Linked DNA regions of Drosophila melanogaster. Changing the gene in region 1 together with any one later gene gives a genetic interaction. Each region holds a gene or a part of one and is shown in the gene's direction. Other genes may lie near its edges.

Evidence for each region. A genetic interaction does not mean that the proteins touch.
Region 2: of Vang (region 1) and Rab23, changing one enhances a phenotype caused by changing the other (phenotypic enhancement), as found in Drosophila melanogaster (one study listed by BioGRID).
Region 3: of Vang (region 1) and kermit, changing one suppresses a phenotype caused by changing the other (phenotypic suppression), as found in Drosophila melanogaster (one study listed by BioGRID).

The regions. Positions count from the first base shown.
Region 1 is NT_033778.4:9,100,383-9,107,876, forward strand, and holds Vang (Van gogh), read left to right. Parts: upstream 1-2,855; 5' UTR 2,856-3,193; coding exon 3,194-3,434; intron 3,435-3,501; coding exon 3,502-5,006; coding exon of another isoform or gene 5,007-5,087; 3' UTR 5,088-6,414; downstream 6,415-7,494. Other genes in the region: CG8777 (uncharacterized protein), read left to right, coding at 1-221, 272-454, 511-695, 755-1,543, 1,602-2,033, 2,094-2,268, 2,328-2,515, 2,575-2,737; Pgm2a (phosphoglucomutase 2a), read right to left, coding at 7,016-7,494.
Region 2 is NT_033777.3:5,678,222-5,687,710, reverse strand, and holds Rab23 (Rab23), read left to right. Parts: upstream 1-2,276; 5' UTR 2,277-2,313; intron 2,314-4,723; 5' UTR 4,724-4,969; coding exon 4,970-5,089; intron 5,090-5,793; coding exon 5,794-6,480; 3' UTR 6,481-7,657; downstream 7,658-9,489. Other genes in the region: plx (pollux), read right to left, coding at 342-461; Atg17 (Autophagy-related 17), read right to left, coding at 8,910-9,489.
Region 3 is NT_033778.4:8,152,323-8,158,793, reverse strand, and holds the start of kermit (kermit), read left to right. Parts: upstream 1-2,139; 5' UTR 2,140-2,380; exon of another isoform or gene 2,381-2,739; intron 2,740-6,471.

The DNA.
Region 1 (7,494 bases):
ACTTCTCACGAGCCCGCAAGTGCTACGAGAAGTGCATAAGCCTTAATCCCCTCGCTGAGGAAGCTGTGGATGCCTTGAGCTTTATCTACCAAGAACAGGGCGAGGAGGAACTGAACGAGACCCTGCTGCTGAACACATTGAGCCATTTGGGTAGCAATGAATCAATTCGATTGCAGTACAAGCTGGGTCTGCATTTCTCGCATGTGAAGAAGTGGGACAGTGTAAGCAATTGATTATCATTGATGAATCCGATTTAACACTTTTATTGCAGGCAATACAATGCTTTCGCATTGCCATTAAGAATGACTCCCGCTGCATTAGCTACTGGGAGTCATTGGGTGATGCTTATGCGGGACGCGGCTCGTACAACTCGGCTATTCGAGTCTTTCAAAAGATCCTTGAACTATCTCCGGAGAATAATTATGCCCTGCTTCAAATAGCTTCAGTGAAAACGGTGCCACATTCCAAAATTAACAAGAAAACATAAATAATTTTTACCCCATTTAATAGACAATACGCATGTACACTGAATCTATTGAAGATTACGATACGCTGCTACAACGTAATCCTACTTACCTGCCCGGACTTCGAGGTGCTGCTGAAGCGCATATTGGCATTGCGAATAGTTTGAAGAGCCAGAACTTGTACGGAAGATCCAAAGCGCATTTCCAATTGGCTCTGGAACACCTTCAAAGGTATTAGCTCAGCCAGCGATTTCGTGTATCTGTTGATAAGTTTTATCCATTCCTTACAGCGCCTTCCTTCAGCGTGAAGCTCAAGGAATGGTTTGGCTATGGCGCCTCTCAGCTAACATTTTCGTTCAGACAGCCCAGTTGCCGCATTCGTTGGCCAACTTGGATGTGGCTGGAAACCTAGCCAAGCGCGAAGAACCCATTGCATATCTTTCACGCAAGGATCTTCTACAGCTAGCTCAGCGCTTCTACTTGTGCGCCTTAAAACTGAAGCAGAATACGTACCTGTGGTACGAGCTATCGTTAGCCAGCTACTACAGTGCCATTCTCATACCCGAGGATGCAAACGGCCACTTAGAGACGGCGACTAAGGCGTGCAAAATGGCCATTAAGGAGTGTAGCAACAGATGGCAAAATTGGAATCTTCTCGGAGTTATCAATATGAACTCCGAAAATGAGAACTTGCCATTGGCACAGCACTGTTTTATTCAGGCTGTAGTGCTGGAAAAAAAGTGCTACACAGCGTGGACCAATCTCGGAGTTCTCTATATTAAACTGAATGAAGTCCGATTGGCCAACGAGGCCTTTACGAGAGCCCAGCAATCAAGTCCCGTGTACGCCAACGCTTGGATTGGACAAGCAATGGTTGCGGAGTTGATTGGCGATCGCGAGGAAGCCTTTGATCTGTTTCGTCACTGCCAGCAGTTCGATTACCATCCGGAGGCGGCGCTTGGATTTGCGCATTGGGTGTGCGAAATGCTGTCGACTCCTGGATCTTTCGACAAGCCGCGCATAAAGCATGCCATCGAACACATGTACGCTGATGTGCTTGCGCTGGATGCCATCAATTGGTAAGTATTATAGTAATGCCCTATCTAAAACCAACTAAAGACTTGCAATACATTTAAGGTATGTGCAAAACGAGGAGACGGATGCGACACCAGCATCGCTGTCGTTCCAGGGATTTCTCTACGCCCGGAAAAACCTGTATCGCCAAGCAATCGAAGCCTTCACTCGGGCGTGTAAGTTGTGCGAACCTGGAGCGGATCGTGACAAGCTCTACACGAATCTGGGATACCTGTACTTAAAAATAGACCAGCCGGAGCAGGCGGCACACGCCCTAAACACGGTTGCACATGCCACATTTAAGCCGATCATTGGCCTGGCCCAGGCATATTATCTAGCCGGTCAGTTGCAGGAATCCTACTCTATTTACAACTCCGTTCTCGGCAACGTGGTTGATCATGGCGATGACAAAGCAGCTACCATCCTCGTGGCTATGGCATCCATGATTTACGACTTTCAGGGCGAAGCGGACACCAAAACCCTACTCTATCAGTGGTTGGTAGCGCAATATTTGTTTTGTTGATTCAACATTTCTAACGTTATAATCACCAAAAGTGTCTTGTTGAAGGAGGTCCCCATTCAGGCGTTGTTTTCAGCCCTTGCCCTAGGTATACTTCATAGAGATAATGCGTTGATCCATACGATACTGACGGAGCTGAATGCGTACGCCTTTAAGAAGGAGTATTGTGCCGACATATCCTATTTAACGGCTCACTACATCCTGATAAATGTTCGTTAAAAGTGGTGAATGTTGTGGTTCTACAAAAGTAATACTATGATTTTGTTTAGGAGGGTGCCCGAAGAGCGTTGTGCTATCTACAGACTCGCATACGAATGTTTCCCAATTCCCGAAGTCTGCGAAGTGTCGTGCTAAAGTTTCTTCTTGATTATTTCTCTGATGACCAATCCTATCGACTGGCTACTTCAAATATGGGTCGAATAACTCTTACTCTGGGACACACTAAGCAACAAAATAGGTAAGACTTGGGAATTTATATACATTGTATTATGATAGACTGAATTTGTTTATATTTAGCATCTTGGCCAGCGAAGAGGCACTGACCACTATATATGCCAGTCAGGCGGTTAGTGCAGTAGACAAAACCTGTTCTATGAAGTTGTTGCAGCGCGCCATACTGCTAAGCCCAACTGACCAGAGAGCCAGACAATTACTTTCCGCTATTATTGCAAATTCATGATATTGTCCAACAAAATAAACTTACTTTAAAATTTAAACTATCAGTTTGGCGGTTGAATTGCCAAACTGATAGTGTTTGAAAACACTAAATGCAATGTGACCGTGCTGCTGATTGTGTTGCGGTGGTCACACTGCGTCGGGGGTGAAGCCAAGTCCACGAAAAAGTGAATAAAAAGCGAAAAATGTGCGAGAAATAGTTAAATAGCGTATGAAATAGCCATGCAAGACACGAATAGTGACAATGTGCCGCAGAATTAGCCGCAGATAAAGCTCTAAATCGCCTATAGGCTATGCACTGCGCCCTGCATACCTGCGTATGAAAAACCTGCTGCCGCCGCAATTACAGTTAGACACTAAAATAGCTGCACGGCCAGGTTGCAAGGTGATTTGGGGCACGTCTCTTCGCGAGCAGGAGATTCGGAATCGGGCATAGCTCTCGCGCGCTAGCCCAATTGCAATGGAAAACGAATCCGTCAAGTCGGAACACAGTGGACGCTCCAGACGCTCGCGGAATCACAACAACAACGGCGGAGGGGGTGGCGGCGGAGGTGGTGGCGGAGGAGGCAGTGTCAACAACGGCTATCACAGGGAGCGGGACCGCTCCAGACATTCCCACCGCAGCACACACTCCTCGAAGTCGGCCAAGGGATTTCAACGTGGCGACATGGCACCGTACCAGACCAGCGTTAATATGACAGGTGAGTTTGTTTAATGGCTCTATCGGTGGAAGGAAACCAATTGACCCATTTATTATTTGGGCACCAGGAGACGGCAGCCACGATGGCCAGGAAGTCATCGAGGTGCAAATCCTTCCGCAGGACGAGAACTGGGGCGAGAATACTACCGCCGTCACGGGGAATACCTCGGAGCAAAGCATCTCAATGGAGGACATAAACAACATGTGGCATCGTGAGAGCGACAAGGGCTTCAGCTTTGCGTGCCGCCGATACGTGGAGTCGAGCTTCTACTTCCTGCTGGGATGCGGAGCGTTTTTTTCGCCAGTGGCAATGGTGGTGATGCCGTATGTGGGCTTCTTTCCGTCGGCCTTCGATCATCCGGAAATAACGCAAACTGTTCGCACCCAGCTGCTGGCCTGCAGTGAGCAGTGCAAGGGCCAACTGGTATCGCTGGCCGCCCGGCTGCTGCTTCTGGCCATCGGCCTGTGGGCAGTGTTCATGCGACGTACATCGGCCACCATGCCACGGATATTCCTATATCGCGCTCTCGTCCTCCTTCTCGTCACCATCTGCACGTTTGCTTACTGGCTCTTCTACATCGTGCAGGTCACAAACGGGGCCAAAATCGTTGTGGAGACGGGCGGCGATGCCGTGGACTACAAGTCACTGGTAGGCTATGCCACCAATTTTGTGGACACTCTTCTATTTATTCACTATGTGGCCGTGGTGTTACTAGAGCTGCGACACCAGCAGCCTTGCTACTACATCAAGATCATTCGCTCCCCGGACGGCGTTTCGCGCTCCTACATGTTGGGTCAGCTGAGCATCCAACGGGCGGCTGTGTGGGTGCTACAGCACTACTACGTGGATTTCCCCATATTTAACCCTTACCTGGAGCGCATCCCAATATCGGTCTCCAAATCGCAGCGAAACAAGATATCAAACAGTTTCAAGTACTACGAAGTGGATGGGGTGAGCAATTCGCAACAGCAAAGCCAGAGTCGAGCAGTTCTAGCAGCCAACGCGCGGCGCCGAGACTCCTCGCATAACGAGCGCTTTTACGAAGAGCACGAGTACGAACGTCGTGTGAAGAAACGGCGTGCCCGTCTTATAACCGCCGCCGAGGAGGCCTTCACCCACATCAAACGCATTCATAACGAACCGGCTCCGGCACTGCCGCTCGATCCGCAGGAGGCTGCCTCGGCGGTTTTTCCCTCGATGGCCAGGGCGCTGCAAAAATACTTACGGGTTACGCGTCAGCAGCCGCGGCATACCTTTGAGAGCATACTGAAACATCTGGCGCACTGCCTAAAGCATGATCTGTCGCCCCGCGCCTTCTTGGAACCCTACTTGACCGAGTCTCCGGTGATGCAGAGCGAGAAGGAGCGACGCTGGGTGCAGTCTTGGTCCCTGATCTGCGACGAGATCGTCTCTCGGCCAATTGGCAACGAATGCACGTTCCAGTTAATTCAGAACGATGTCTCCCTAATGGTAACCGTACACAAGCTGCCGCACTTCAACCTGGCCGAGGAGGTTGTGGATCCCAAAAGCAACAAATTTGTTCTTAAGTTGAACTCCGAAACATCCGTATGACACCACCACAACGCCCCTCCAATCAACACTCCCACTCATAGCAACCAGACGCAATCGTCCTACTTGCATGTGTTTGTCTGATTTTCCCAGCTACTAATTCACATATTCACATATTTTCTTTACTTCAGCCAAATCGATGACGTTCTTGTGAGAACTGCCATCAGGGTAATTGAATTCATTTTTATATATGCCTGAAACACCACAACCAATCAAACCAAGCAATCAAAATTACTTATCAATGAACAAGAGGAGCATTTTTAAATCGATCAAAACCCTGAATTTAAAAAAAAAAAGAAAAAAACATGGAAGTTTAGAAAGGAAAAGTTGTTGTGAGAACAAAATGTCTAGGCAGGCCTCAGCAGCTAAATTTTGATCTTGTAACAAATGATTATTAGATGAGAAGGCAACGTACTTATCAGTGCTAAACTTGAACTTATGACCCGAATATCAAGAAACAATGCTCAAAAGCCCAGTGTATCATCCTAAACCGACGCGAACATATCACACCCTTTGATAAGCAAACATGACTTACAAGTTCCCAAAGTATTAATTATAAGAATGATGGTTTGGCTTGCCGAACCGCGATCTTCAGATATCAACTCTTAAATGCAGCTCTTTTATACACGATTTTTATTTTAGTAAATATGTTTAGTGTAAAGTTGGGCTTACTCTTCGCGGAATATCTAAAATTTTACCCGATATCTGTGAGGCGTGAGCCCGATCGCTAGCCTTAAGAAGGAATGGAGTGAGCCAAGGCAAGCCCATGGAATTTTAGCTAGGACTCGGACTTGCGTCGAAAGTGCATTGGCCACTTTTGACGCGACTTAATAAGATTTTACATACGCACATTTTAAGCCGAAACCGAATGGTCCTAACTCTTCTGCCACAAAGTTGAGAAACGACGAAACAACTATAACTCGAATGCAACTGATGACAAATACATAATATAAGCGAAGACTGCCTGAATATGCATTTTATACACACAAATTGCCAACAGCCACTAGCAGGTGTATGTACTAGCCTGTGCATAGCAACCACATATATACAAAAACTCGTGTATTTTTAGAGACAAAATTATAGTGATAAGGACCCGAATTCGTATTCGAACATGTGTACGTTCCAGTGAACCCAATCTATATATACATACATATATGATATATACCTATTTACAAAACTACTTAGAAACGTTTGCTTGAGGTTTGATTTCATTTTCGTTTTCTAGCTAAATGTCTTCTGTCGAAGCTCTTTTATATTGCAATTATCTAGCAATTACTTAAAGCAATTGGAAAACCAACCTAAGCATACATACCATTTATACATACATTTACTCTCAAACTGTAACTGTTGTAATTGTAACTAGCATAAAAAACAAAATGCGTAAATAAATCAAACCCACTTCTTTAACAGCTTTAAACGAATTGTTCTATCTCGAAGGTGACGCAAATCGTGGAAATGCGCACGTAATTAATTCATTCTTGGGGGTCTTTTGAATGTCTGAAAGTTGCCTTATCAGCTCGGGATTAACAAACAGTTCCTATATTGATTATTGAGCCCAGCAGGTTTACCAAATCGCACTGAAGTATAATGTATGAGTAGATTTAATCGCAATCAATCAAGTTTCAAGTTCTTTGTGATACAAAGACTCGAATGCCTCTCGAATTTCTATGATAAGAGTAATAAGCTCAATTAATTCAAGTGGAGTGAGCACGATGGTCTCATTTCATAAGCTACTTAAATATCAAACTGAGGAAACCCATGATTTGGTGCCTGGTGGTGGATGGTGCGTTCGCTTTTATTTACATTATTTCATAAATACTAGCCAAATGTGAGTGGAATACTAACATATCAGATATCCTTTAAACAATAATAGGCAACAGCTTGCGCTGCTGTTGTTTTTTGGCTTGTGCGTCGTCAGTGCTGTTGGTATAGAACTTTCAATTTTAGACAGGTCTACGTGTTAGATCTTTCGTCCCAGTCGCCTAGCGTATCCGCTTAAAGGTGCATTCGGATTATTCCTTCCTGCGCTGGAGGCCGTTCTTGCTTGGCTCGTAGAATTCCTCGACAATGGCCTCCACCATGGTATTCATTGTATTAGTCAGCTTGGCCCAGTTTTTCTCGTCCGGCTTGCCACACATTTCGGCGTAGTACTTCATCTTGGGCTCCGTGCCGCTGGTGCGTAGAGTGACCACGAGTCCGTTTTTGAAGGTAAATGTGATCATTTGGGAACTGGAGCTGGTCGGCAAGGTGGCCTTCTTGTCGCCAGTGCTACTGTCGAATCCCGTGGTTAAATCGCGAACGTTTTCAATCTCGTACTCGCCGTTAAGGATGCTGGTCGGATAGGTGTCTGCCTTGCCCTCGTCCCAGGTGCGCAAGCGCTCAAAGATCTGCTCGATGACCGGCGGGCAACGGCATATGACATAGGAGCTGACAGTCGTGTGGAACCCATATGTTTCGTAGATGTCGCGCAGTTTCTCCTGCAGTGTCATGC
Region 2 (9,489 bases), on another chromosome or scaffold:
AAATGCACTGCTAATCCAATAAAAAAAATTAATTATTGCAGTGGTATACTTAAAAATATTCCAATATTTCAATTTAGTTCATATGGAGTCAAATGTTAAGTATTTGAATTGGTGACATGCTAATGATGTTTATAGACTTAATTGCTGTTAAATTAAATTTAATTTGTCTGGGTATAAAGCTTAATTTTTAATAATACTGCCAGAGCAAGCAATCAATTGTTATTATAAGTCAAATTGTTTTAGCCCCTCTTATTAAAATGCTCGGTCTGGAGCTATTAGCCCAATTAGTTTCTAAGCCAATGTAGAGTTATTTGTTTCATAATAATATATGTAATATTTACCTTCGTGTAGCTCTCCGTGGACCTGATATCGTTAATGGTCCACGGCAGCATGGAGGCGGAATAGCGCGGATCCACGGATGCACTGCCGCGGAAAGTCAGCGAGACGAGGCGCGTTTTCATCTTCACTGTTCCAGTTTCTGTTTCAGTTGCAATATTGACTTTGATTTAATTTCGAGTGTGGCTTATGCGTGTGTACTTTCGCCGAACGATAAACTGTTAAAATTGCTGGTCAAATTGAGTTGCGGCCCATTTATTTACTTTGCATTTTATTGGCCGCTTTGCAAATTGCTCTTTAATCGTTTTTGTATATGTTTTCCTGACGTAGCGTGCTGCAGTCCAGGATCGAATCAATATTTAATGGCGACCGCGTTTCCACATTCCCAGGCGGAAGGGAGTCGTCGCTGATGGAATTCTGACTTCGTGCGCCCAATGAATCACCCCCAAAAAGGGGGGCGGCAAAGCAGCCGGATAGTGCGGAAAATGGGCAAGTGGGAACATGGGAAAGATGGGAAATGGGAGCATGGGCAGCCGGGGCGCTGGAGCGGACAATGACCACCTGACTGCGCTTCCTGTGGGAAGGTCTCGAGGAGCGGAGGAGCAGAGAGCATCCGAGAAATTACTATCAATATTGATTTTTATTCGCAGCCAGTGCCGTCTTTGTTTTTCACATATTCATGGCTCACACATTCACAAAAATGCACAGTGCGCGCTCGCTACAGTTAACTGGCAAGCAAAAGTAGTTATTTAGATTCTCAAAGGAAAGATAGTTTCAATACTGTAGTAATATTAGTAAGAACTTTAAATTCACAGTACCATTAAGGCAGCAATGTAAGGATTCTCAAAACACGTACTTTCCTGTTGGCATGTTCCCTTTATCGAGCGTGCACTGTGATTTTTCTTTGCCTTAGAAAGAATGGGAAGATGGGGGCACGGAGGATGGGCTTGAGAGGCAGGAGGAGGAGCAGGAGGCGGAGAAAGAGGACGAGCCACCACCAGCAGACAGACTGCGAAAAAAGAGACGGCAGTCACCCCAATGTCGGAATTTACTTTTGCACTAACTTGGCACTTTTAACTTTCTACTTTCTAAGGTTTCCAATACCTTTTCGCCGCCCCTCGCCACACACACTCACACACCCGCCGTTACGCGACACACACACACACACGGATGGTGGCGTGCAACAATAAATACTGATTTTGGCGATTGGTGCGCCCGAAAACACGTTGAAATGCCACCAAATTCCGCTGAGCACTGAGCACTGAAAGTCGAGTTCCTGCCGCTTCTCCAATTCGCGATGCCTAGCATTTCTCTACGTCTCGTCCTTCGTCCTGTCGGCCGATAAATCGCGATTGCCGAGCATGCGCGTGCTGCCAGCCAAGTGGGTTGTCAGCAAAGGCGATGAAATTATAGCCGCAATTGGCCCTTACAAGACTGGTGCGCAAATCTTGCGGCAACACATTTCAATTTGCGCTTTTTCGAGTCCGCCGTTGAAAGTCAAACAAATGCGCGTCTTGTCGTTTGGAACAGCTGATTGCCAGGTGCTTCTTCTTCTGCGAGTGCCAGCCACTGGGAAGCAGTGTTGCAAAGGGACGGTAGAGGTAAATAACAGGCGCTACAAATTTAAAATTTAAATGCAAAGTGTTCTCACGTACATGTTTATTCAAAGCACTCAATAATAGTATGTACTTACTTTAATAACTAAATATTATATGCACATTGGACAATGAATTATTACTTATTTATTTATTTTGTAACCAATCTTTAAGTCAAATGGGAGGATGTATATATATGTTTCATTCTCCGCTCGTAAATTATTATTGGAGACGTGCAGATAAAATAAAAGCAAACCCGTTCACATCGAAGCTCGCCTGGTGTGACCATCCACGCTGGTCAAACTACTTTGCGCACGCCATGGTCGCACTGCTCGCAGCAAGCCAGGCTTGGCATTCAAATTTCGATCGCGACGAGCAACAGGTGCGATTTTTGGCATTCCGGTTCGCAGTGCAGCGCATTTCTCCCACTTGGCGCCCTAAAAAATCGGCCGGGGGCAAAAACCATAAACCATGGTGTATATCGTGTGTGCAAGTTGACTTTCACTGCGGGTCAATTCAGAGATCGGGATCCCAGGCGACGTTCGTCTTTAATTAAGGCGCTTCGCACGCGTTGTCGTCGTTGTTTTAGCTCCAATTTAGCTGCTTTAGCCGTTTTATCTGCTTGGTAGTTTTGGCCAAGTAGAAGAGGGGCTCCGCTGCGAACGTGTTTACGATTTTCTGTGCGATCCCAAGCTGCGATTCGAATGCGAGCTTCGCGTTTTCGCACTCGAAACTTCTTTTCGTCTATTTCTCACCCAGAAAACACAATCGCAGTAGACTTTTGAGTTGATTTTAGTGAGAAGAGGCAGTAAAAGAGCCATGAAAAATATGGCAAGAGATAAAAAAACAGACAAAAACAGAAGAAGCAGAGGGCGACACTGTGCGGAGTACCGTTAATGCGCGAGTAACTATTTAATCATGATTTAAATAATGAGGAATTCGCGCTCGTAATTGATTTAAGTAGCGCTCGGCATTTGCATAATTTTCCCCATACGAACACACACACTTGCAAGCCTGGAAAATCCGTTTTTCCTCTGCAGCAGCAGCGGCAGCACAACAAGTGCACATGTGTAGGGGTGTGCAGCCGTGCACGGCATGCATGCATGTGGCCGAGTGCAGGTGTATTGGTGCTGTTGTGAACCTAAATGGACAAGTTAGAATCCACATTCCACAACAATGGCCAAGAAAACGGCCGCCGATCTATCAGTTCCTTGGGCAAATCCAAAGATAATTGCAGCGCGGCGCTCCATTCGCAATTTACTCCACAGCCTGTGCAGAAAACAAATGGTTGCTCACAGGCTCAAGATTAGAACAATCTGAGGATCGGTGCTCTCTTTTGTGGAACAAATCTTTAAGTGTACACATGGCTATTGAACTAAATCTATAACCGGTGGCCTTAATTATCATGACAATGAACTACAAAAAAGTCAACGAAAATAGCATGAACCTTTTAGAAGAAGCTGTAGGAAAAAAGTCGCGGCATAATTAGAACGAGCGAAAGGTTGCACAGTGGGTTAAAGGTGGTGGTTTGGGTTAAGAAAGAATCGGTGGAGAAAATGGAAAACACAAATCCTGTGTTACCTGTCCGTCTAGTGCGGAATGCCGACTGTGTGGAAAGAGCTCAGAAAAGACTGCTGGGAATTAATTAATTGTTGTATTTGTAACCTTCGAAGGCAGATCACTATATTTAGGCCAATAAAATCTTGAGAATTTCACGCAAATTCATTCATATCAGCCACATTTTACACAAAAAAGGTTCGTTTATTATTGAAAAACTGAGAGAAAATTGGGAAACGCTGTAGGCTATACATATATCTAATGCTTCTTTCGAAGCTTAGATGAATCCAACCCGAATTGATGATTGGTTTGTTATTGTTTTTTCGAGCACCAAGCTTCCGATCTATTTTGAGAACCTTGAAACCAAGCTAATTTGCTTACGAAACGAATATATCTCCTTTAGAACACAATGTAACCAAGTGGGCCCCATCCGTTTGGTCAGATATTGTATCTACCCTCCATATATATTCCGAACCCACTTAGCCGCACAGCCGTCCGCCCACGAAGCCGCAGTAAGCAACTGTAAACGGGGGAAAGGCCAGAAGAAAGAGCACAATTTTCAAAGAATTCATAAGCACGCGCTAATGCGAATACTAATGTCATGCGGGCTCCATCTCCATCTCTCTGCTGACCAGTATCCACTGGCCCCTGTCGTCCCACCTAACCACCAGACCACCGCCCAACTCCAAAATCCCACCCCCCCCCCGCCCGACCACCGCCTGTTACCTGTGCGTAAGGTGTGTGGAAGCACCTGTTGTTGAACAACATAACCGTGCGTGCCCGGCCGTTCGTGTTGCGTCTTATTAGAAGCCGCATTCGGTGGCCCCTGGGCCAGTCGGTAGAAACAGAGAAAAACAAGAAAGAAAAACAGGGGAAACGAAAAACAGACTTGGCCAAAAGAAGCGAGAAACACAGCGCTGAAAACCGGTTGACGTGGAAATGAAAGAAAACCTTTTGCATTTACAGTCAAGCTTCGGGAAGGGAAATTAATTTGAGTCGAAATATTGGTACAACTTCTCGCGCCTTTTCAATTTAAAGCAAAGATATCTCCAGAAAACAAAGGTTTATAAAAATAGATGGATAGTTGTTCCAATATATAATCAAATAATAAAACCCCCAAATTTGCTTTTTCACTTCATATTTCTTTAGTTCAAGCTAACGAAGTTTGACTGTAGCACTTGCCGTATGTTAAAACTGATGTCGCTGAATAGTTGGATTTTTCTCTTTTTCCACAGATCGAATTTGGTGAAATCAATGCGTAGAAAGTGAAACGAGATTCAGACAAAGTTGGGGGAAAAGTGAAAAGCTGCGGAAAACTTGGCTAACCAAACAAACACATTTGAACACACTTGCGTTGGGCGGATTGAGATTTCGTGCTCCTCCAACCGATTTGCCTGGCCAGGAGCTGCAGTTGGAGCTGGAGCTGGAGCCAGAGCCACAATCAAACACCTGGGCGAGCGGCGGCCCACCTGCCGGCTTAGATGCGTCTAATCCAAACGGCAACCGGCGGTGCTGCTGCGTCCGTTCTGCAGACCCACTCCCAGGCGCAGTACAACTACACCAGCATGCGTGAAGATGATATCGAGCTGGCCATTAAAGTGGTAAGTTGCCCAGCCGGCTGCGTGAATCTCTGTCATTCGGATGATGAATGGTTGAAATGAGTGCACTGCAAGAAAAAAAGATGGCTACTATTAAACCAAACCCACATATACAATTGATTATATATCGTATCAAGAAGAGTTCTGCATATCCCAAAATGGAATGACTTCTTTCCAATATTAGTATATTAATCAACTTCCATATGTTAAAGCATCAGATCATCTAATAGTTTTTCTATATATTTTTATAAACTTCTAACTAGTTCTAAATAATAACTTTCTGTGTAATTTTCCCTCGCCAAGTGTTGTGAATGGCACCTGTAAGATAAAATCCGATGGAAATGTCTGTTGCTAATGGCGAAACTGCACGAATTAAGATTCTAGTTCAATTAGGGTTCTCCTCTCCCTAAATAAAGTTGTTTCTAATGGTTTTTCTGGAATTGTTTCAAATTGATTTATATGATTATTTCCGAATGTGTCTTTCTGCAGACAAGCCAAATTTGATTGACATTTACGCGCTTAATTAACTTAAATGGCTAACCGTTTTAAATGTCCAGTAGAAAGCACATAAATATTGTGAACAGTTAATTTTCTCTCCTTCTGGTGAATAACAAAACGCTTTTTTGCTTATGATTGAAATAGCAAAACATAACGTAAGACTTTTGTTTTGAAATATGAACTAATAACAACTCTGGTATTTTCCATAGGTCATTGTTGGAAATGGCGGCGTTGGCAAGTCATCAATGATCCAGCGCTATTGCAAAGGCATTTTCACGAAGGACTACAAGAAAACGATTGGAGTGGACTTCCTAGAGCGACAGATCGAGATCGACGGCGAGGATGTGCGCATCATGCTGTGGGACACCGCCGGCCAGGAGGAGTTCGACTGCATCACAAAGGCGTACTACCGCGGCGCCCAGGCTTCCGTCCTGGTCTTTTCGACGACGGATCGAGCATCCTTCGACGCGATCAAGGATTGGAAGCGCAAGGTGGAGAACGAGTGCAACGAGATACCCACAGTGATTGTGCAGAACAAGATCGATCTTATCGAACAGGCGGTGGTTACGGCCGACGAGGTGGAGACGCTGGCCAAGCTCCTCAACTGCCGGCTCATCCGCACCTCCGTCAAGGAGGACATTAACGTGGCGTCCGTGTTTCGCTACCTGGCCACCAAGTGCCATCAGCTAATGACCCAGAGCTACGACCAGGTGGCCGGAAACCAGCAAAACTCCAGCCATCCGCCTTACAGCAGCACGCCCACGATCAGCGCCTTCAGCCCGACCTTCACAAAGTCCAGCAGCGGCACCATCGTCCTCCGTCCGGCGAAGAAGGGCCATGGCTCCAGCGTGGCCCGAAAGCGAAAGATAGTGCTCAAGAAATGCGGAATATTGTGAGGAGTTGTCGGATTAGCTGGTTAGATGGCGGCAGGGGCGACTCGGCTGGCAATTAATATCTGGAGCATATTTAACGCCTAATTATTTTGGAGCCTAATGATGTTGTGGCCGGGTGGCCAGCCAACCGTTGGATGCAACCACAGCCATTCACTAGTCGTGCACAGACTCCGCGTGATGTGGTTCAGACATGCTTACGGAACAGAAAAAATAATCGGAGGCAGCAAATTGGATCTTCTGGATCCCCACGAAGATGAGATACCCTTGCGGTCGAACTGAGGAACTAAATATTTGATTTACACTGCACAACGGAAAGTTTTCACCATCTTTCGGGCCGGTTCCGATATCTCACAAAAATGTATTCATCTTTGGTTTTTAAAACTACGATTTTTAATATACAGATTTAAATTCTATGCCGGATATTGTTCTTGAACACGAAAATTATAAGAAACACCCAAATCATTTAAGACACCATAGAATAAGCTAACTTTTCGGTGTATTATTTTAACTGCAACTATTTAATACTCCTGTTTATATTTACCATATATAGAACGTATATACAGACCCAATACTCACTTGGCCACACGAGCCATTAGACCAAAACCATAGCACCCGATCTGCACGGGTAGATGATGAGTTCTCGAAACCATAGACAATATGCACGAGCACTGGCAGTTTCTCAAAAATTTCCACAATTAGTTATAGATACGAAATCAAATTTGTATGTATGTATTATGCCCGCTTTTCTATAACGGAGACTGAAGCAACTTTGCTTTCATATCGAATATGTTTGTATATAGGGGTTAGCTCCCTAACCAAGCAGAATTAAAAGGCTATTTATCACGCTACCAAGCCCAGATCACAGGTCCATGTGAAATCCCTTTGCCAATTCGCGTTGGCCAAATGTGCAATTAAACATTCAGCTTTTATAATTATTAACTAATTGCAAGTCATGCCAGAGCGCAATTTGACGCGATTCATGTAGACCAGTGCTGCTCGCATTCTATGCAAAAAACTGCAGATAGAGCACAGTGAAACTCGTGAAGCATGTAACATGTAAGCCGAATAGGAGTTTAGAAATAACTAATAAATAATAAATAACCCTAAGCCCATTAATATTCTATTTATGCATGTAATGATCCATTAATATGTTTACTTAATAAATTATTTTATGTAAATTAAGTCGATTGTTGTGCAATTGGGATTCACTTTTGGAAAGTCAGCGGGCAGGAATTTGATGAAGTGGGTTCGAAATTAAAGTAGCATAATGGGTTAAGATGTCATGGGTTAAAACAGCAGTCGTAGTTTTGAAATGTTTACCATTTTTTATTTGATTTTTGATTTTACACTTTTTTTGTAAGCTTGACAATTTTGCGATCCGCTTCTGTTACACCATCGTTTAAACGTTTCCACATTTAAATCGTTTAAACTATTTTAAATATATAATATTTCTTTCTTTATATTTACAATGCGCGTTGAAAAACTATCGCTTCGCAACGCATAAATCATTAAATGTGTATATATCTATTTTGTTGTAATTTTCAAGTGTTTCCTTGTATTAATAAAGGCATAAATAACTATTCGTCAATTTCCATTCTTATTTATTTACACAAAGTCGAAAAATCAAAATATCTTAGATATAGGCAAGGAGAGAGAGTAGAAAGTTCGATTTCTGGAGGGTCAGGGGAAGAGAGTGGTAAAAGCTGAGCATAAAACTGTGTTTTTCGCAGGCTGAGCCCAAAAGATTGTGTTTCTTGTTTCTTTGTGTGTTTGGGTTGTGTTTTGTTTGTTTTGTGAGGGTGGGTCTCTGTGTGTGTGTGTGTGCAAACTCTTTGTGTTCTAGTCTTTTTAAAATGCCTATAAAAAATATGATTTCTTGTGTTCCTCATCTCAATTTTACACGCTACGAAACTAATGTGACTTGGAAATAATTTTCTTGGCACTAAATGAAGCAAATTATAACTTTAAACCGAAAATTACCGATGTAAATATTTTGATTATAAGGTAAATTTGTTAAAGTACATTATTTTTATTTGAAATAAAGATTTTGAAAATCCTAGCTGTGTCTGTGTCTCGGTGTGTTTGCATTTGAAGGGGTAAATCCCGCTTTCAAATTTGATAAGATTATTTCATTATGCGGACATTAGAACATTTGTTTTCACTTTCTTTTGAATATATATTCCGCACTTGGTTAACTTTAAATCAGTTAACTATATATAACTTTCACGTTGCTGTTTTTGTTGCTGGCTGATGTCGTTTTTTGAGGCTACTGTATTGTGTGTGTTGTGTGTCTGCCCTGAGGCTTATTTTTCAATTTTTGGGTATTGGTTGTTGGTTTTGATGCGGTTCCTACATAGAGTACAAGATTTAGCCTAGATACACACTCCGTTTATGTATATAAGTAGTTATATGTTAGTCCCAACTGTCGTACACTACTCGGAAATGGGAAAATCATCGGCATCGCCATCGCCATCGTCCTTGCCCTCCAGCGAACGATACTCGTCCGAGTCCTCGCTTATGGCCGCCGTGCCAATGGACATGGGCAGCATGGAGTCTGTGCTGATGATAGGCTTCGCACTGATGCTGGCCAGGATGCTAGCTCTTGTAGAGGGTGTTGCAGTTAATACTGCTGGGGCGTTGGGGGGCACATAGATGGTAATGGTTTCCGGTTCCGGATCCGGATCCTCAGGTTGGATTGTTTGATTTGGACTTGTTTCAGCCACAGGCGCTGTACTCTCAGCCTCAGCTGGCTGATCAAGTTCCTGTCGCTGTTGGTGCGGTTGTTGTGTTAGGGGTTGTGTTATTATATCAGCAGAGGCCAACAGTAGATCCAATTTAAGTTTACTTGATGCCGTTGGCTGCTCTGTTATCACAGACTGTGCTTGAGTTGCTGCCGTCGGTGCAGTTGATGTCGGACCTCCTGCCACCGGTGCAGCAGTTGTAATTGGTGTTGCAGATGATGCTGCTGTCGATGTGCCTGTTGCAACAGCAGCTGTTACTGCCGGCATTGAG
Region 3 (6,471 bases), 950 kb from region 1:
ATGCAATTTGAATGCGATTAAAGATCTATTCCTGACATGAGACCAATAATAATGCCCATTAGCTAAATGAGCACATTGATGTCTCTATACATTTGTTTTTTAGAAAACTGTGTTCTGAATGCTCACTGAGTACTTTCGTACGCTCTCAGGGTGCGCTTCGTCACTACGTGAACGGGCGTCTACATCGATTAGATGATAAGTGAGGAAGACTGGAATGCCTAGATCGACTTGGCTAGTTATCCGGCTAAAAGCAAAAAATGAAGAGTGGCCCATGAGGGGATCGAACCCGCGACCTTCGCGTTATTAGCACGACGCTCTAACCAACTGAGCTAATGGGCCTTCGTGAGAGCGGCGTTCTGGGTTATCAATTTGGATTGGGGGTGCTTCTCTAAACACTCATATCGCTACTTATTTAAAGTCCGAATAAAGTGGATGTTATCTATGTATATACTGATTACCTTTTTGTATTCCAGCCTATTGGGTTATAAACAAATAGAAATATGTGTGAATATAAAATATAAAACAATTCGATTACAATTTTCAATTTCTTGGAAAGCGTGTTGCATGTTTTTTTATTCTTATCAGCAAAAAAGAAATGTAATAAGAAAGCCTGCTGAGACCACTTATTGCAATATCAGTCTTCGGCAAGTAGTCTTCTGAATCGGACAATGGAGTGCCACTAGACCATAGGAGTGCTTCTCCTGAGCTGGTTGGTTTGTGGCCACGCCTGTTATTATCCAAAACGATGTTTGGCCAACGATGGGAGTGCACCAAACCGGCGATTGGCATCGACCGACTAATGTATTCTGTGGACCCACTTAAGTGTGTTGTGAAATAAGGGCTCAAGTAAGTGAAATAAGAGCTCAAGTAAGTGCACTACAGGTTCACAGAGTTTGTACGCAGCTTGTATCCATTCTACCCCTACTACACCAGATGGAGAATCCGTCCCTGTCCTCGTTCTTTGGAGGAGGTTCCCTGATTGCCCCTGAGGTTGTACTAACGGCAGCCCACCTGTTGTTGTCTATACCTGGAGTCTACATTTGCATTTAAAAATGACATACAGCCCATCTGCTTACCTCTTCAAGGGTCGTCCATTGAGCAGACACACTGTGTGATTTCCGGATGGGGAAAGCGTTCTTTTAACGACTCTCAAATGTCGAGTATACAAAAGCAAATCGAGTTACCCATAGTAAACAAAGGAGATTGCCAGAATATGTTGAGGAAAACCAGGTTTCAGCTTGCCACCAGTCTCATATGTGTCAGCGGACAGAAGGACAAGGATGTCTGCGTTGGTGACGGTGGGTCCATCTTGGTTTGTTCCCCTGACGCAATCTTCGCTAGATATCACCAGGTCGGGATCGTGGCCTGGGGCGTCGATTGCGGCAGGCCAAACGTTTCCTCGACCTTCAAAAATGTGTCCATGTTCAGGAAGTGGATTGATCGCAACTTTCCAAGCAACTCGGTGGAACCGCTTAGGAACTGTATTCCTATCCACCCAAGAATTTCGTCCTATAAAATGAGATACATGTTGCTTTAAATCACCAAACTTAGCTAATGTAATTACATATATTGTATCAAATATATGTATTTATGAAATTAAATTATCAAACGGAGTCGATTTTAACCACCTGCTGAACTTCAGGTTAAATTATTTTTAAATTGAAGCTTAAGTCTTGGGTATAAATATTTATCAACTAAATTGTTATTTTTTGGTCGAGGAATGTCATAATATTGGGTGCAAGAGTTTTTTCTCTTAGACTACCATTCTGCTGATTGAAAGTATAATATATATCATTAGTCAAATGCAGTATGAGATATTTACCCCAGGAAATAAGCACATTTGTTTGATTTGTTCTTGTGTTCATTTCATTTCTTCATTTTCATTACAGTGACCTTATTAAGATTTTAATTTTTTATCCGTCTACAATTAGTCTTATTGTTGCTGGTTTTATATTTTCTTAACCAAAATAGTGGAGGCTAGTCAATGCTATACAAACTTGTCACGAAAACTTAAGTTCCTTTAAATCTGGTAAGTGCACCTTAACCGCCAAAATTTCAAACTCACCGAAAATGTTAAGCCACAAGTACTCAATAGGCCGATTGTCAGCATCGATGGCGGCATCGATGTTTCCCCACCGCGAACAGAGTGGCTGGCCACACTGGCGCTCAGCTGGCGCTCAGCTGGCGCAGTTGTTGTTATTCTTGCATTTCTACAGCGCGAGGTCCGAATTTTCGAGCGCAGCGCGGCCACAATTTTCCGGGCGTTAGTTAACCGAGACGACTAGTTTAATTAGCGGAATTGTGCGACGACGTCGTGGTTGAAATTCAATTTGAACGCCCAGGCGGTAGATCGGTAAAATCGCGACATCAAAGCACGAGAGTGAGTGAAAAGAGAACCCTGGAAAGTGGTCAATGTGTGTGTATTTGGCGAGCAGTGGCGGAGCACTGAAAAAACCAGTTAGCTGGCAGTGAAAGAGATTCAATAACGTGTTGGTGGGCAAAAGAAGAACAAATTGTTTCGAGTGTGCGAGGCGACGACGACGACATCCAACTGGTCCGGTACGAAGAAGTCCGCTTTCCTCGCTCATTAGCGGCGCTTTCCTCGGGCCCACGATCTGGAAGTCTGGAAATCGGCGATACCTAAAACCGGGCCATAGCCACCACTATCATTATCAACAAATTGATATACATATGCAATTGCAGCAGCGCGTCATCAGCACAGCGCCCATCGCCTAGCAGGTGCGTTCCGTACCGTCCGTCACTTTCGACATTATATTGGTCTGATCGGGTTTCTCTCTCTCTCTGGTGCGTGGTATCTTCTATGTATATACTATAACTATGCATACTATATATGCTCCGTAACAACACACTGCATTGTCTTTCGGGAATTGTTAACACCCCGCCCCGGTGGTGGAGCATCTTTGGCATCCATTCAGTCGGTTGCCCATTCATTTGCCTAACAGACTCTTTTCTGCGCCAACCGACGAACAAGTAAAGTGAAAGGCGGCGGCACGCGTTTTCCCATCTTTTGTATTGAATTTCGCTTCGGCAGCGAGGAAAGCGAAATCGTTCTTAGTCATCAGGACGTGTGGTGAGAGGAGGAGGGTGGGCCAAATCAACATGCAACCGCCTGGCAACAGGCAATGCGTCACAAAAAAACAAGGAATTTCAATTTCCAAGCTGGGATTACTAGTTAACTAAAGCAGACTGTAGTGCAGGGGAAGGTGGTGTTACCGGGGTAGAAATTGAAGGAAATCAAAGGCGATCGATAAAATAATAATATCGATAAACAACATTTGATGAGACGAAAGAAAAGATTCGTGGTTCAAGTTGTTTTACTTTCAGCCAGGCATTTTTAAAAACTTGGATGCATTTAAAACCGGCAAGACAGGCCAAAACGCTGTTGACCCACGGACCTTATCGATTTTTGCAGCTGCTGGGCGGCTAATCATTGGTTTTGTGGCGTGACAAGTGTTTCGGCACCACACCCACTGTCTGTATGTCAGAGGAAAAAAGCGTAAGCGGAAGTGATTTCATAGACCGAAACTCACCCCGAAAACTGAAACGCTGAAAGGGGCATTTCCGTGCTTTGTGGCCATTGCCTGCCCCAAGTCGCTAGTTCATTTTCCGCTATTATGTTGAGGTTAGGACTTTCCAAATCCATGTGATTTCCCAGGGTGCCGGCTTCTGTGCGTCGTCGCAAAAATATGCTGCACTTCGGGGGTGCAAACAGCATGCTTTTCGTTTTCGTTGAAGTTTCACGGCCGAATTGATTTTTCCAGCCTAGACATTACAAAATGCCTCGCCGAAGTGGCGATAATAAAGCGCCTTTTCAGTTTTGCAGCCAGCACGCACATCGGGGCATTTATTACCGCTTTTCCGTTTTCCCTCTTACAAAACTGTGAAGTTAATGCGGCCAGCACGTGGGTCTACGCACTGAGTTTTCCGTTCCTCAGTTTTCATCTGGCCAAGCACTTCTCAGCTGGCCGCCGAAAAGAAAGGGGCAACGAAAGACGCAACCATGACCAAAGAAACTCAAAACTCCAAACTTGAGCAATTTGTAGGCAAATTAAGGTGTTAACTAACCGTGAAGTTGGTCAGTGGGAAACCCATCGAAGATGCTCTAGCTTAAAGCTCATACAGAGCAATAAACAAGTGTTTCTTTGAAGATCTTCGATCTGCTCTTATAATCTTAGATAAGAAACTAGCAAAGTTGAACTTAACTGAGGCAGATAAGTATCTCTAGGTTTAACGAGTTATGATTTCTGGCATATTTCTCGCTGTGTATTTTCGGCAGACGAGCAGCTCGGAAATTGTTTGATCGATTCGATTCCTTCGTCCGCTTCCGCTCCGCCGCTATCGGCTGTTGCCTTTTACCCGCCCATTCGCCACTTGCTAACAGTTGTTTTCGTACGTGAGCAGCGCTCGGATAGGCAGATACTCCCCGTCAGATACACAAGATAGCTTCCTCTTCTGCCTGGATGCGATGCACTGTGTCCGCTCCGCGCTCTCCGTTCTCCAGCTCACCAAGCGGAAGCAACTCCATTTATGTAAATTGCTTGCGTGACATTTCAATGCGACGGGGCGCTTTATGAAAAGCTGGAGCGGCATGGTCCGAGCGGGATGAGCGGTGGCTGGGAATAATGGGTTGAAGAATCGTGGGTCTGGTCTGGTCTGGTAGCTAGGGCTGCCACGGGCTGCTCCGTCATGCCAACAGTTGGCAATCAGTTTAACTGTGCTTTTTATGGCCGTACTTTGCGCTTTTTATGCGCACTCATTGCCGCACATGTGCAATATTACTGCACTAACGTTTTTGCAATCAGTATCAGATGTACTCGGAACTGGTGTGAATGAATCTGCATGTTTTCCATCTGCGTGATGTTTCTACTCCGCTTTAATTATCCACAGTTCCTCAGTCGTTTCATATCATTAATACATGATTGGGCACAGCGATCAATCTTTTTGCACACTAAATACTTGTCTTTGCCTACAATCAGAAGTAATAGAAAGATCGGATTTTATTGTTTATCAGATACAAAAACTGGCGCTTATGTACATATATCTACAATTATTGTTTTTTTTTGCCACTTCCAGTTTTAATTATCCCGAATTTCCGCTCCGATTTCATCACCCGTAATTTGTGAACTGATGAAAACAATACAGCCTTCGGATTAACATATTTTGGAGAAACGTTACAAAGAGATAAAATTCATATTTGAGTTTAGATTGTCGGGCGGCGTAAACTTGGCCCAAAACAAACATTGCCACGGCTTTTCGGCTATAATTCGTTTGCTTAATTTGCTTTTTCGAGCTCGCAGTTCAGCGAGGTGAAACGGTTAAATGTTTTCAAAACTGCCCCAATGTTTTCCCTTCGCCATACGTAGATACTTAGATACATATGTATATACATACTTGACGTTGCGTGTGGTGCTCATTGTTGTTTGGCTGTGCATTATGCTAACTAGACCCTAATGTCGGTGCCCGGGTGTTTTGAGTGCTCCACATTAGTAGTTTTTGTGGAATATGCCCCATAAAGGGCCATTCGATATGTTTCAGCCAGGGCTGCGAGTTCATTGCACTGGATCATCGAATCGTGGAGCAACGACTCTGGTTCGGGACCATGCCAAATGCAAAATGTCAGCAATTTATGAATAATGTAGTGAGAAACACAGGAATCGCAGAAAACGTGATCGGAAAATGCCACAAAAACAGTGCATAAATAATACCAACATATAATTGGGCAGGGCGAAGCGACATTTAAGCTTTCGCTTCGCCCACAGTCCATCTGAATTATCTGTGGAAATAGCAAATTGGATACTTGTTTATATTAGCAGTGGGTCGGGTCTTCGTTCGCCAACTACAATCTTCGGTTTGTTTGTAATTTAGACTAACCGCTCGATGTCACTGTTTATTTATGCATTAGCATCACGACACAGGGAGATATTTTTATATATTGTCTTTCTAAGGTTTCAAGCTCGAATAAGCGATTATTACCTACAACACTGATTAAAATGTCATAAATATAAAGGCAAAACTTAAGTGATTTATATTAGTATACATAATATATGAATGTCAAAACTGATGGCTGTTCCACTGGAAATCAATAGAAATGGGGAAAGTAAATCTCTCTTCGAATACGCCAGATATTATTACATATTCATTTTATAATTATATTATAAATTTTGCATTTTTCTTAACCAAACGGACAACAATAAAGTTTAAACTGGATTAATAAAACGAACAGCTTTAAACTGAAATTTCAGTTTGAATATGTTTAACCTATGCTGAGTATTTTTCCAGTGCAGCGTTTTCTTCGATTTCATTAGATATGGCAAGCTCAATTTTCTGCTTGTCTCAGTGCCTTTGCCCACAAAATGTTGACTTTTCGAATTAAGTTTCACCGTTAGCAAAGATCATGCGGTCTTTCGCTGGATTCTCGCCTTTCGGCAGCGCTGCCGGCGATTTTCGCAT